Linked DNA regions of Caenorhabditis elegans. The protein of the gene in region 1 interacts with the protein of each later gene in a pairwise test. Each region holds a gene or a part of one and is shown in the gene's direction. Other genes may lie near its edges.

Region 1 (6,964 bases):
CGAGTCCATTCCATAAAAACTGGTTCATTGAATGCCATGTCTCGCTTCAAAATTCTTCCACTGATGGTTCTGATCCAAATGTACCAGGAAGCTGGACGAGGAGAATATGCGACAGCTGAAAATTTGATACGTTTTGTATTTAAAATTTAATAGTAAGAAAAAATTACCGATTGGACCTGAGAATTGGCAAGCCGTAAAGTAAACGACATATTTGAGATTTAACGAGTTTGTTCGTAGATACTCTTGTGTGAAACTGAAACCGAAGTGTTCGAAAAGTTTCGAAGTTTGGGAAGCCCGTGTAATGCCGAAAAATTTAAACTTACTACAGCTGTTGATCTCCCAAAAACACTGAACTACTCGGACGAAGACACAACTCTCCATCTAGTTTTGGTTTTGATGGAGCATGAGACTCCCCCATTTCTGGAAATACATTATCTTAATATCTAAAATACTTATTTTACATTAAAAATAATTCTGGATATTAACCGAACGGCTATTTTTCATTTTTCAAAGGATAATATGCTCTTTATTTGCGATTACGAAATTGTGAAAAAGGTAGATAAAACAGCAAACACGGGAGGAGGAAAGCGAAAAAATGGGAAATTATGTGAGATCAAAATGCACATAATTATCAGCAAATGAGAATATGAAAACAAGAAAAAATCATCTTAAGATGGCATCTACCAATCCTCTTCGTTATCGTACTCCTCAACTCCTGATCTAATGATTTTCTTTTTTGCAGGAGCTGTATGCTTCTTCTCGACAGTCAATACTTCAGATCGAGCCAATCGGTTTTCCATGGTCTCGGTGGTAAACTCATCTTTTCCTCCCAATTCATCAAATCCACGAATGTAATCGACGGTTTGTTGCTTCTAAATTTATTTTTTTTTAACTAAATAATCTGGTACAGATGCCAACAAAACTCTATGAAACTAGTCAGATTTGAATTATACAACTTCAGAAAAAAAAATACTATAGCAGGAACCACATTCAAACTTACCACGACGATAGCGATGCTTGGAATGACACGAATATTGAGACGAGTTGTCAGGAAATGAACCTTCTCGGCGTTGACATGTATGAATCGTGTTCCAACATGCTTTCTAGCCAAGATCTCGAAATGCTTATCCACAATTTTGCATCGGAAGTTTCCAGGTAAGTAGAAAAGACAGACAACTTTATCGCTTTTCTTTGTAGCTTCGAAGAACTCCTTCTCGTCAGCAACTTCCTCGTATTTTCCGTGCCCATGAGACAACATCTCAATTCTGTCTTTTTGAGCTTTCTTCATTTGTTCCATCCGTTGACGACGAATTACCTCAAGATCGTCTTCTTCTAGGTTCTCAAGTCTAAAAACACACATGACAAACAGTTTCTACATTTCAAAATTACTTATTCATCTCCTGGTCGATCTGTTCCTCGACAACTTGAGCTGCTCGTAAAAGCTGCTCCCCAAACTGCTGTTGAATATTAGCGGCCATTTTCTGAAAAATTTAACAGAATTAAATTCAAAATTTAGGAAATTGGAAAGGGAAGACGGCATAATAAGAGCGGAATAAGAGGCATATGACCACCTGGAATTCTAATTACACCCTTTTTATGCCTGAAGGACCATAAAAATCGATAATGAGAAGCTACGAGAATGTTTGGAAATTCCATGAATTTATTCCAAACAATTATTTCTAGCTGTTCAGTAGAGCACACTTGTATGCTTGCACGAAACTGTGCAAACACCATCACGTCAGAATGCACACACACTTGGCAACAATTTTAATTAAATTTTATTCTTAATTTTCAGTTTTTTCGGTTCAGTTTGTATTTAAAAATAATTATTTTGATTTAATTCTTCTATTATTTATTGTGTTTCAGATGCCGAAGACCTCTGTGTGGAAAACGCGCGTTGGAACGCAAATTTTGATGGGTAAAATCACCGACATCACTCAAATTGGAATTGATAGAATTCCATGTGCTCAAGTTGGTTCAATTCTTGAAGACTTTTCGAAGTGTATTGTATTATTTTAGGTAAGATGTCAGATGAACGAATTCAACATCTATCTGAAGAAATATTTCGCCCGATCGTTCGACTTCTGGGCTCTCGACAAGTGAGTTTAAAAATAAGTTGTTTAAAATACCTGTTTTAGAATTACTGCATTTTCTCTGAACTGAATTTATCAATGTGAGAATTACATTTCAAAATTGAAAACATTTTAGAACATCACTTGGAAACATCGGAGATACAGTGCTCATCAAGCAGATCGATGGTTCTTCCCGCCCAAAGGCCAACGTCTCTCATGCTGTTGACCGTGTAGTGTTTAAATTCGGAAACATTGTCGATCCAGTCACAGGACGCAAAATATTCAACGACACATTCGCCGATGAGATTGATTTGAAGAAGGTTTTAGTGGAAGAAGTTGTGGATAAACCATTAGAAGAAGAATCAATGCTATTTGAAGAGAGAAGAGCCCTACAGATCAGAAGATTAGAACAGGAAAAAGAGGCAAATGTGTAGTTTTTGAATGTTCTGAATTTAGACGTTTGATCTGTTTTTACTTTTTGGGAATAGTTAGTTCGTTGTTGTTTATTGTTTGTCGATATTTACATTCAAAAATGAAATGTTTCTTTAAATTTTATTTTTAAAACTTTATACTTCAAGGTTGACTTGATCCTTGTATATTTTTCCAAATTATTTTTTATAATTTTATAACTACAAGTAAATTCAAATTCAAGATGGACATCTCACGTCCGGTGGTTGAGAAACCTATGTTTATAGAAGTCGAAAAGTTCGTGGAAGCTCGAACAAATTCCATTGCACAGCTACTAAAGGTAATTTTTACAACTATAATCTTCAATTCTTCCAAATTTAATTTTCAGGCTATTGACAATGACGCCCTTGTGTCTGGTGAAGTCACAAAAGGTCCAAGAACTGCTGCTCAAAGATTGCCACGTCACATGAGAAGAAGAGCGATGGCATACGATATTCGTCGATTTCCAAGAACAATGAGAGAGTTTGCAGCAGCACATTTAATTTCAAAACATGCTAAAAAGTGTCCAAGTCGGTTTGCGAGACGAAAAAGTGCAAATTCTCGAACAGTAAGAACCCAAATTAACTAAATACTAAATTGCTCGTTTTTTTCCAGAAATTTGGCAGAAGCACCAGTACAAAAGGTATCTGGCTCTCGACACATGTTTGGCATGCGAAAAGATTTCGAATGATTCAAAAATGGGGTTTCAAACTCGCGGATCGCAGCTTTCAACGTGGATTTCGAGCAGTTTTAAGAGATTCTAACAAGAATTGTGTGATTCGAGATAGATCATATTATACATGTGTTACTGTAAGTATTGAAACCAAAGAAAACATTAAGTATTTAGACGTCTAGATTTTTTTCCTCTTAACATTTAACATAAAATTTAGAAAAAAATCTAACATTTTCGTTTTCCCTATATTTCCAATAAAAATTTCGATTTTTCGAAATATAGCTTTAAATTTTCCTCATTTTTCTTTTCTTTTTTAAGACTTTTTTTCATTTTTTATCAACAGTAAACAAAATTTGGTAAAAATTGAAATGTTTCCGATACTTCCATTTTCCATAAAATCAGATGACATCTTTGTTTGAAATAGTCCGAATTCGGATTTTATTTTTCCACTTTTAGTATGCTTACTATTCAAAATCTAAAATGCTTACTATTCAAAATCTAAATTTTCAGATTCAATGCACCGATGCTTATTCAAAAATCTCCCAGTTCTCACAAAAAGGATGTCGAGGGCAGTCATCACGCGATGAAGAAGAGGTAATCATTGAGAGGGAGAGATGAACCGGTTCCTCGTCATTTTCTATCAGCTGTTAGCACTTCTTTATCGTTTTCTGTTGCGCATAAATCTATTTTCATGATTAACGCATTATCTTTCCAGGAATGTCACCAACTCTACATGCCAGGAAAATACCCATTTGGATATATTGGACCTGCAAGATTCCAACGACTCTCTGGTGACAAAGTTCATATATGGATTCATCCATCAAGCAAACTGCAATTCATGAAAGCACTTCTTGAGTACTATAATCTTGAGAAACAAGAGAATACAGAAGAAGATCTTTATAAAAATTCTGAAATTAAAGTTTCAATCGATGCAGAAAACATTTGCCGATTTCATTTATCCGGTCCAAAGTGTCTTTCGAAACTTCGCGACTCGATTCGATTTGTTAATGACGAAAAGTTCAGTTCAGAACACAATTATTTCTTATCTGTATCGGATTCCGTTTTTCAATCAAGTCGAGATGGAGAAGTTATCAACTTGCTCATCGAAGACCCGAGAACAACTTGGGATAGGAAAACAGTTCTGAAACACAAAAAAGTGAACAAAGAAGCTGATAATGAGAGGATTCGAGTAAGCAAATTTTGGAATAAAGAATTTAGAGAAATGGCGATCGAGAAAAGGTATGATTTTAAAAAAAGTGGAATTTCAGTAATTCAATTATTCAAATTTAGAATGGCAGATTCTGAATTCCACAAGCAGAATTCTTCAAAAATCAACGGAGTCATTTCAACTGAAGCGAAGGTTCCAATCATTCTGATCATTCGAAATGAAGGATTAAAAGCACTAGACGGTGCAGATATTCTGATTCCAGAACCTTTTGGTATAGTTTTGAGAAAAACTAACAATTTTGAAGATTTATTTTTTTTCAGCAAAAGACTTCTGGGTATCACTTCAACGACGAGGTGTCCGTGCAAGTGGACTTCGTGATGAGTATGCAGCACATTTGGAATCTAAAGCTCTTTATTATCCTCTAGACGATGTTGGCTCAGAAGCTGGACGAGAATCTGAATTGGCGATGAAAAAAGAACTAATTGAAAAGTATCTTGGAAAGCCTCATAATAGAAGATGCAAGCATTGGAGTGCTGTATCAGTGAAGTATCCATTTGAATTTAAATGGGATGAGCTTTCTCAGGACTGGAACTTATCCAATAAACCTAGAAGTGAAGCTTTTGTATGCCGAGATCTTCAAAAATTACGGATTATCGAAGAAGCTATGAAGAAAGGATCGGGACTCGAAGAATTTCAAGAACCTGGTATGCTAATTCCAGTGAAACTTCAGTTTTTTGGAAGAGGAAGACCGAAAAAGTATGGAATGGTGTGTCTGCCAACGGATGATGATTTGATTTCAATTCGAAAGAATCGAAACCGAGAGATTATTCAAACACCTCCAGAAGCTTCTTCTCAAGATTCAGATATCGTTGAAGCTATGGAAATTGAAGAAATTACAGTTAAAAAGAATCAAGGATTTATGTCTCTTGAAGCAGCTGCGTCTGAAAAACCAATTAATTTGAAATTACTTTTTGAGGAGACTACGAAATTGGATGATAAGTGAGTTTAAAAAAAACCAAGATTTATCGAGTATAAAAACGTTTCAATGTTTTCATAAACATTATCAGAGTAAAACCTGTTTTTAAAAATTCTGAATATAAAAAAGTTAAATTCAAATCATACGATTAATAGGATAGATTTTGCCAAAATACCAGTGTTTAAAAGTCAACTTTTGCAAAATTTTGTAGAAACACATGGTTCAAATACCAATATTTTACAGAACCACCAAACGAAAACGAGTGAATCGAAAAAAGCGAGAGTCGAAAAAACGAAGAAAGATTGAGCAAGAAAAACGGAAAGAAGAAGCTGAAGTTGAAGAAGTACAAAAACTGGCGACAAAGTACAGATTTTCTGCCAATCGGTATGAATTTATGTTCCGTTACTATTCTCGTATTGTAATAATTGCAGTGAGATAATTGGTCGACTGGTTGCCGGAGAACAAAGTGTACTTGCTGGACACGGTGTTGGTATTGGATACATTTGTGCGAATACCCTCTCTCTTATTGCTTCGAATTATCACAAATGTAAGTTTTTTTTAACTTGAAATTGAATAATTAATATTTTTCAGCAAAAACTGTAGTTATGGTCAGAAACTCTACATCAAAATACTACCATCCAGCGTATGTGACGATTCTTAAAAATGCGACTAAAATCTAAATTCGGTTAGAATTAAATAAATTTTTTTGTTATTTGATATTTTCACACTTTTACCCACTTTTTGTTGATTTTTTCAAACTATTGTTGTTGTCTTGCCTATAAAGTTTTATGCTTAAAATTAGTTTATGAATTTTGATAATTATTGGGTTTCACACCATTTTTTATTTGATTTTGTGCTGAAATATTATTTCTTAACCCTTTACTTTAGGATCCCAGATAATGAAAAGATGGTTGGAAAAGATCACATCACCATTGAAACCACAGGAATCATCAAGTGATTGGGTTAGAGATGAACTTTATTCGGGTACTCGTAAGTTGAACTTTTTATAACTTGATAATGGACCTGAATTTTTCAGCTACATCTGTCTCCCGAGCTCGATGGTCTTCAGCGTACGCTTCAGATCCGACAGTATGGGAACAACTATTTGAAACAAAATGGAGCGTTGTTAGCAACATTCTCGAACGGAAGCTCAGTGATCCAGAGCACAAAGTTGTTTATGATGAGCTAATGTCACTTTTGGAGAATATGACAAATATGTGTACATTACTCATGTTAGAAGCCAACTCACAACCTGAACCAATTATCGGACCGATTCTGGATAAATTCTTTACTGAACAAATTCTAGAACGAGTGCTGGATTGGTCGATTCAACTGACTGATTCTTTGAAATCGATATGCCAACTGGCTATCATTCGAATATTCGAAATGATAGTTTCAGATTCGCATTCTCAAAATCACTGTCTTCTGGTTCACAAGCCAATCTTAAATCCTCTATTTCGGCTATGTGAATGGTTTCAACGAGCAGATATCTACTGGAGAGTATCTAAATCTGAAAATAAAAAGACTTCAGAAGCTGAAAAGATGTTCGTTTTGCTTTTGAATCAGATTTGTACAAAGTTAGTTGAAGACAGAACACTTTTACATTTCTTCTTCCACTCCAATCAATT
Region 2 (6,614 bases), on another chromosome or scaffold:
ATTGCCGGTTTGCCGATTTGCCTAAAATTTTCATTTTTGGCCAATTGCCGACTTTCCATTTCCCGGATATCAAATTTGCCGGAAATGTTTAAAGAGAGTTTTTATAAAACGGGAACAATTAGAACTGTACCTTTTTGAAAATTTTGCTTACTTTTCAAAATAGATGTAGGAAAATGTATGAGTTGCTGATTGGAATTGGAATTCTGAAATATCTTTAGAAAAAGCGAAAAACCACAATTTGCCAAAATTTTTCAGCAATTGCCGTTTTCGGCAAATCAACATTTTGCCGGTTTGCCGATTTGTCGGAAATTTTCAATTCCGGCAAGATGCGGATTTGCCGATTTGCCGGAAATATCAATTCCATTATGAGAATTTTTTGGGAAATTTAATTATGAGATCTGTTTAGTTGAGCACTTGTTGGGTCTTTACGTTCAAAAAACCAGAACCATTACACCTCCCAAAAAATTAATTTTCTAATTTCAGGAATCCGTTCTGCTGTAAATTTCATTAGACAATGTGTTCTTATGGACTGATTTCTACCGGTTTTTTTTTCAACCTGAAAAAGCTTTGTTCTCATTCCCTGTATATTATCCTTCTCGTTTTTAAATCTCATGTTTTAACGATCTAAAAATTATTTATCATGATGGATAGTATTACTGAACTGGTTTCCCTGTGTTTATGTAGTTAATGGTCTATGTTGTAAATATTTGGAAAATTTTAAATATGCCAAATATTAATTTTATAAAGAACTTTTGGTTTTCAAGACTTGTTCAATAAATTCTTCATCCTTAATTTCAATGTATAACAAATTGAAATTATTAGAAATGAGGTGGATAAAAAAAAGAGTTTTACAACTAATAATTCGTATGTTAAATCTAACTTTTATAAAGTGAAAGTTTTCTCTAGTGTAGTTTGAAACGCCATTTTCGATAACTAATATTTGCAAAGTTTGAAGAACCTTTAAAAATTTTTTGAAGTATTTTCCAAACGTTATAGATATTAAAAAAATCACGCTGGTGGTTTACGAATCTATTGAGCTATTTTTTCAAAGAACAGAAAGTTAGTGACAAATTCGATGAAGCCATACAGTTCTTCGAGGGAGTCCCTACCTTTGTTATGAGTGAATTAAACACCGCAGCACCACAGTTGACTTTAGAGACACGTGCGGAATTTTTTTTTCAATTCTGCATGCCGAAAAATTATAAACGAACAGTGGAGATTCAACAAGGAAAAATTGTGTTTCTTTTTTTTAACCTGAATTTGTGACTTACCAAATTGAGAAAAACTTTGCGCGCAGTGTTACTTTCAATTTTGATGCTACAGTTTTTGAAATCTCGCAAAAATAATATATTAAATATGTTTTGCAGTAAAAAATTTGTAACTTTGAAGCAGGCCCACAACAATTGCCAAAATCGTCGATTGCCAGAAATTTGATTTCCAAAAACAATATTTTCATAGATTCTGTAAAATTAAAAACACATAAATGCCTCTAAAAATTTATAAATACCGAATACCTGAAAGGTGAAGTTCAAAATTTGCTGAAATATCAGTCAATTTCAGGTAGGCTACACCAATTCAACAAATGCCTTAAACTTTTTAATTCGTAAATTTGAAATGGTCTTCAGCAAAAATGCTTTTGATTGCCTTGCAAAAAAAACTACCTAAGATTTCATGGTTTAGTAAACAACTTATCTAACTTTTAATTTTTCAGCATATGCTAGAAATCGTAATACATACCTCGTTCAAAGAACACGTTACAAAAAATATCCCAATTTATAAAATTCATGCAAGTAACAGTAGTTTTAACTGCCGAATCCAAGTTCGATATTAGTCTAATAATCGTGAAAGAATAATGATTTTAAAATAGCATGTCTGCAGTAAAATAGTAACATGGAAAAAAAGTAGCGGGGCAGAGAATCGACAAAACTGGTCAGGTGTAATTTGGGCATGAAATGCGCGCCTCTTCAGTCAGGCCTTTCATTCTTCCTTCTTTTCAACCATATTTCATTCTCGCGCTTCAGCCATTTTGCACTTATTCACAGAATTTAGACTTCACATGTGTTTCTTCCACTCTTTCTTCTATTTCTCTTGTATCAAATTTCAATGCCCAAAAGAGACAGCCTTTCTGATTCGAGCAAAAGATTGGTGGAGCATCAAGCTAAACATGGCAGTTCCATTTCCCATGTTATTTTTTATATTGAAAAAGAAGACCTCTGGGTCATTTCCTCTCGTTTCCCATTGTCTGACAGCAAATAAATGGCGCGGTAGTTGAGTTCAGTTTAGTTCATTTCCCGTGATACGTCAAATCCTTTTTTTTTACTCTTCTTTTTGCGGTGGTCTCTGTTTGGGAACGATTGCATGTGAAAATGTTCTTATTGTGCCAGTATTGTTTCCTGAAAATTGTTTCCAAAAATTAATACATAATAAATGAGAAAATACACCGAGCTATTTGACCACCTGCTCTTCTAGTGTGCATGTGCAAAACGTGCTAGTATTGCGAAATATGGAGTGTATCTAAAGCTTATCAAATGAGCATTTGATAGATAAAAATGGATTCATCCAATTTTTTATCCGTTTTTTGAAATATAATATGTGTTCAGGTTCTATTACTTGAAATACTGAAAAAAAAATTATTGCTTTTATAGTGTTGTAGATAATAATTAAAGGTGCTCCTATATTGCTAAAATGCTAATATAGTTTTAAATGCTCCTATAATTCAAAAATGTCCAAATATCGCAGTTAAACTGTTGGGAAAACTTTTGAAATGTTCAGTTTTGTAATTAAACAGTTGGTGAAATTAGTTTTCATTTATCATATGTTTTGGTAGTCGGCCGTCGGCTAAAACAACGCAGAAAATTTGGCAAGTCATCAAAACTTTGACTGGAAATGTTAAAAAATCTAAAACTGTTTCAAGTGTTCTATGATGACTAATTTGAACTATTATACATATTTTAAAATTAAATCTATATTAAAGGTTCTTCACTTATTATACATTCGTCAAAAAAATACACCTGTTCAAAAATTTAAAATTTAAAAAAATCTAAACTTTAACTTTTTGAATAGTGATTGTTTGAAAATAGCTTTCAATTATTTTATCATTGCTGACATTAACGTTTCACATTTGAGCAAGTAATACGCAGAGCTCATACGTATTTGCATGTACGCTGCTGGCTCACACCACCTTTTCTTTCTCTCTCAAATATGTATTCGCCCGTTCTCGTTTCTCTCTCACCGGCTTATGAATCTCAAATGTGGGGTGGCAGAGGGGCCCCCACTCTGTTTTGTGCTCAATTCGAATAAGTGGTGGTGCCCTTTGAGAGATGTCCAATGACATTTTGTGCTTAACATTTCATGAGAATTGTCTTTCTTCGTACATCTTTTCCAAGAACAGAAACTTTAACATGTTTCTTTTGTTTCTTTGAACTAAATCTTTTACGAATTTATTATTCCAAATTTTTTATGTACACAATTTCGTTCAGAATGTCCGAAACACTGATAATTCGCTTCAATGTTGGAGGAACTCCAATGGCAACCTTGAAGACGACTTTCCCAGTTGACTCAATTTTCCACAAATGGTTTGTGTCAAGAACAAAGGCGTCCCCATTCACAAGCGACCGAGATGGCGCGTACTTTGTCGATAGAGACCCATTTTCGTAAGTGAATCACAAAGGTATTTATTAAAATTATTCTCATGATTGTAATTTGGTAATTTGGAAATTTGGACGATGGAAATTATAATATATTGTAGTTGAAAAAAAAAAATAAATCTTTAAATACTTTCTTTCAGATTCGGCGTCGTGCTCAACTATTTTCGTCTCCGGAAAGCTGGACAGCTTTGGGAAGCCTGTCTACCAAAAGACCCAGACAGGTTGGCAATGCTGACACAGGAAGCAGATTTCTTCCTTCTGCCTCAACTACGTGATCAAGCAATCTGCATGCTTCAGCTATGTAGTAATAAAAATGATTCCAACTATATAAACGAGGTATTTATATACTTAAAAACTATGATAATTATCTGTTGAATTTCAGATGCTTGCCAAAAGCACAAGTTGCCCGCAAGGATTTGACAAAAAAGAGGAAGAGGATGAAGAAGATTTTTAAATTCTGTAATAAATCTATATTTTGTGATAAAAGCTACAGAATAAACGAATTCTTCTTTGCGGTTTTGTGGAAAATTAACTACTTACTTTCACTAATTGACGTATTCAATTCTCTACAAAACTATTATTTATCTGGTAACAAATTCCGTTTTTTTCAACAACCAATGTATGTTTGCTAACGTGGCCCCCTGCCAAAAAATTAGCAAGTCATCCAAAACAAAAAATCCCCTTAGAAACGCACGTGTCTACCACTTTTTGAAACTATTCCCGAAGATTTTGAAACTTTTTTTTAATGCTTGCTGGCGATTTTCAACGATATGTTTGGGTACAGGGAGAACGGAAGCGACAAAAAAATCGAGAAAAGTATGACGAGACTAGAAAGCGATACTTGGATCATGGTTAGTTTTTCCACGTATTTTGGATGTTTTATATTGTTACGAAATGCCGTGTTTTCTCTATTAGTATTGCACACCGTGGGCCAACTTTCACAACATACATCTCAATTGCCAGTTTTCCTTTACTAGTAAATTTGTCAACTGACGAAATTTTTGTCAATTCCTTTTTTTAAGTTTTGTAGTTAATAGATTCAGAAAAAAATTTCAAGATTTAAAATTAAATTATACTTTCAGAATTTATTGATTTTGTTTTACAAAAAAGATATTGCAAGAACTAAATTAAAATTTTTGTTCTAGATTTACGAGCGATTTCGCAATAGGGGGCAATTCGTGAAATTTGGTTTAAAATAGCTTTTTATCCTTTTTTGAAATGTTGCTTAGAGTCAATTTTTTCTGCTCTAAATGACAATCTTAGTATGTCAGATATCACTTTTAAAAGATTGTCAATCTTTTTTATGATTTTTTTTTCAATTTTACGAAAATCAAAGAAACAGTGAATTTGTAGTCCCGTAAAAGTCAGCGACGTCATTTTTGACATGTTTTCAGACTAACTTGCCGATTTTAGATAAATTTTGAACTTTCCGCAATTTACTTTCACGGAAAAATGTTTAAAAATTGACAAAAAATGTTTCTAATCAAATATTATGGAAAAATCAAAGAGAACCAATGGTTTTAGCCAGAAAACACGAAAAAAATCATTTGAAGCTTAAAATTGCTCTTTATCTATGTAAGATAAACCTAATGAAACTGAATGCTGATTTTAAAAAAAATGTAGTTCAATTTTTCCAGTCACAAAGTACAAACCCTCTTGCCCTACAACTTATATATTTCAATTTTAGATGTGGTAGACGCCGAGCCAACAAAAAAACCGAAAGTCGTTTGGCCTGGAGAATTTGAAAACCAATTAAGGAAGCGAAACCGAAATCTGGAGAAAATTGGTGGGTGAAAGGTCATAAAAGAAAAAGAACCCAATGTATTTTTTGCAGATGAAAGAGAGAATAATAGACTTGAAACACCAGCAATACATACTCCTTCGGACACTCAAAGCCTGATTTCTAAGTATCTTACTGTAATAATTTAAACTCAAAATCAAGACTAAAAGTTTCAGTGAAGAGGATGCACACTCAACTTCTGATTTGAAACCAGAGACACCGCCAGATGACAAAGTACATAAAGTGGAAAAGAAAGAGCCACCTCCAAAGAAATCATCAAACATTACTCCCATATCCATTAGTGACACTCATTTTATGGATGAGTTTCTAGAGCCGCCTAAAAAGTTGAATCCGACTTCTTCAGGGGGTTCTTTTTTCTTAGTTTCTAGCAATCTGGTTGTTGAATAATTTACTGGTAATTTCTGAAAAATCGCATGACTTTATATTACGACATGTATAGTTTTCATAATGTAACTTGTAAAAGACTTGTTTTCTTCTTTATTGCTTATATTTTCCAAAATAATTTTTTTGCGTAATTTAAGTACTTGTATTTATAATTCTTTGCTAAAAAAATAAATATGTATTATGAAAAACTGCAGAACTGTGAAAATTTAGAAACTATAATTTTTCTGAGGAAATTTATACCTTGGAAATAATATTTCAAACAATGAAATGTATTCTGGCTTTCAAAGCAAACTAAAATGAATAAAAAAAATTATGTAAGCCTTGGAAATCTGAATAATATATTTGAAATATTTTAATATGAAAATTGTAAAAAAGTGTGCATAGATTAGTAACAGTTTTTTTCTGAACATTGCTTTAAAAAATTGATATTAAAGGCTATAAAAATTTAATGGAGAAGTACCGGTTTGGACGATTTTGAACATATAGACCCAAAATGTGCTTAAATAAACGAATTTTTTAATGAAACGACTCAAAATTGTTTCAAAAGTTTTTTATGGCGGTTCAAAATTTCCAAAAATACCTTAATCAACAAAACAACATAAGGTAAATTACCAAAATTTGCAAAAAAAATGACAATAATTAAAACAAATCTACTTTGAATCACTGCGGCACGGAAAAGTAAAAAAAAAGTTGGATAATTTTTTTCGAAATTTTGAACCGTCATATAAAATTTTGTAGATTAAAAAAAAATTTAATTACAAAATTCGATCATTTAAGCACAT

What was found.
Region 2: the proteins of mrps-17 (region 1) and F49H12.3 interact in a two-hybrid assay, tested with the Caenorhabditis elegans proteins (one large-scale study listed by BioGRID).

The regions. Positions count from the first base shown.
Region 1 is NC_003281.10:6,426,695-6,433,658, reverse strand, and holds mrps-17 (Small ribosomal subunit protein uS17m), read left to right. Parts: upstream 1-1,860; 5' UTR 1,861-1,866; coding exon 1,867-1,971; intron 1,972-2,019; coding exon 2,020-2,099; intron 2,100-2,208; coding exon 2,209-2,506; 3' UTR 2,507-2,617; downstream 2,618-6,964. Other genes in the region: vps-16 (Vacuolar protein sorting-associated protein 16 homolog), read right to left, coding at 1-115, 168-253, 324-418; txdc-9 (Thioredoxin domain-containing protein 9), read right to left, coding at 681-872, 1,001-1,346, 1,390-1,478; Ribonucleases P/MRP protein subunit popl-1, read left to right, coding at 2,758-2,820, 2,869-3,087, 3,135-3,329, 3,703-3,786, 3,908-4,431, 4,483-4,631, 4,681-5,359, 5,580-5,720 and 2 more; fhip-1 (FHIP family protein C05D11.8), read left to right, coding at 6,236-6,326, 6,373-6,964.
Region 2 is NC_003284.9:2,080,896-2,087,509, forward strand, and holds F49H12.3 (Potassium channel tetramerization-type BTB domain-containing protein), read left to right. Parts: upstream 1-3,479; 5' UTR 3,480-3,480; coding exon 3,481-3,653; intron 3,654-3,787; coding exon 3,788-3,983; intron 3,984-4,029; coding exon 4,030-4,101; 3' UTR 4,102-4,162; downstream 4,163-6,614. Other genes in the region: F49H12.4 (uncharacterized protein), read left to right, coding at 484-501; F49H12.2 (uncharacterized protein), read left to right, coding at 4,393-4,498, 5,335-5,433, 5,482-5,554, 5,604-5,835.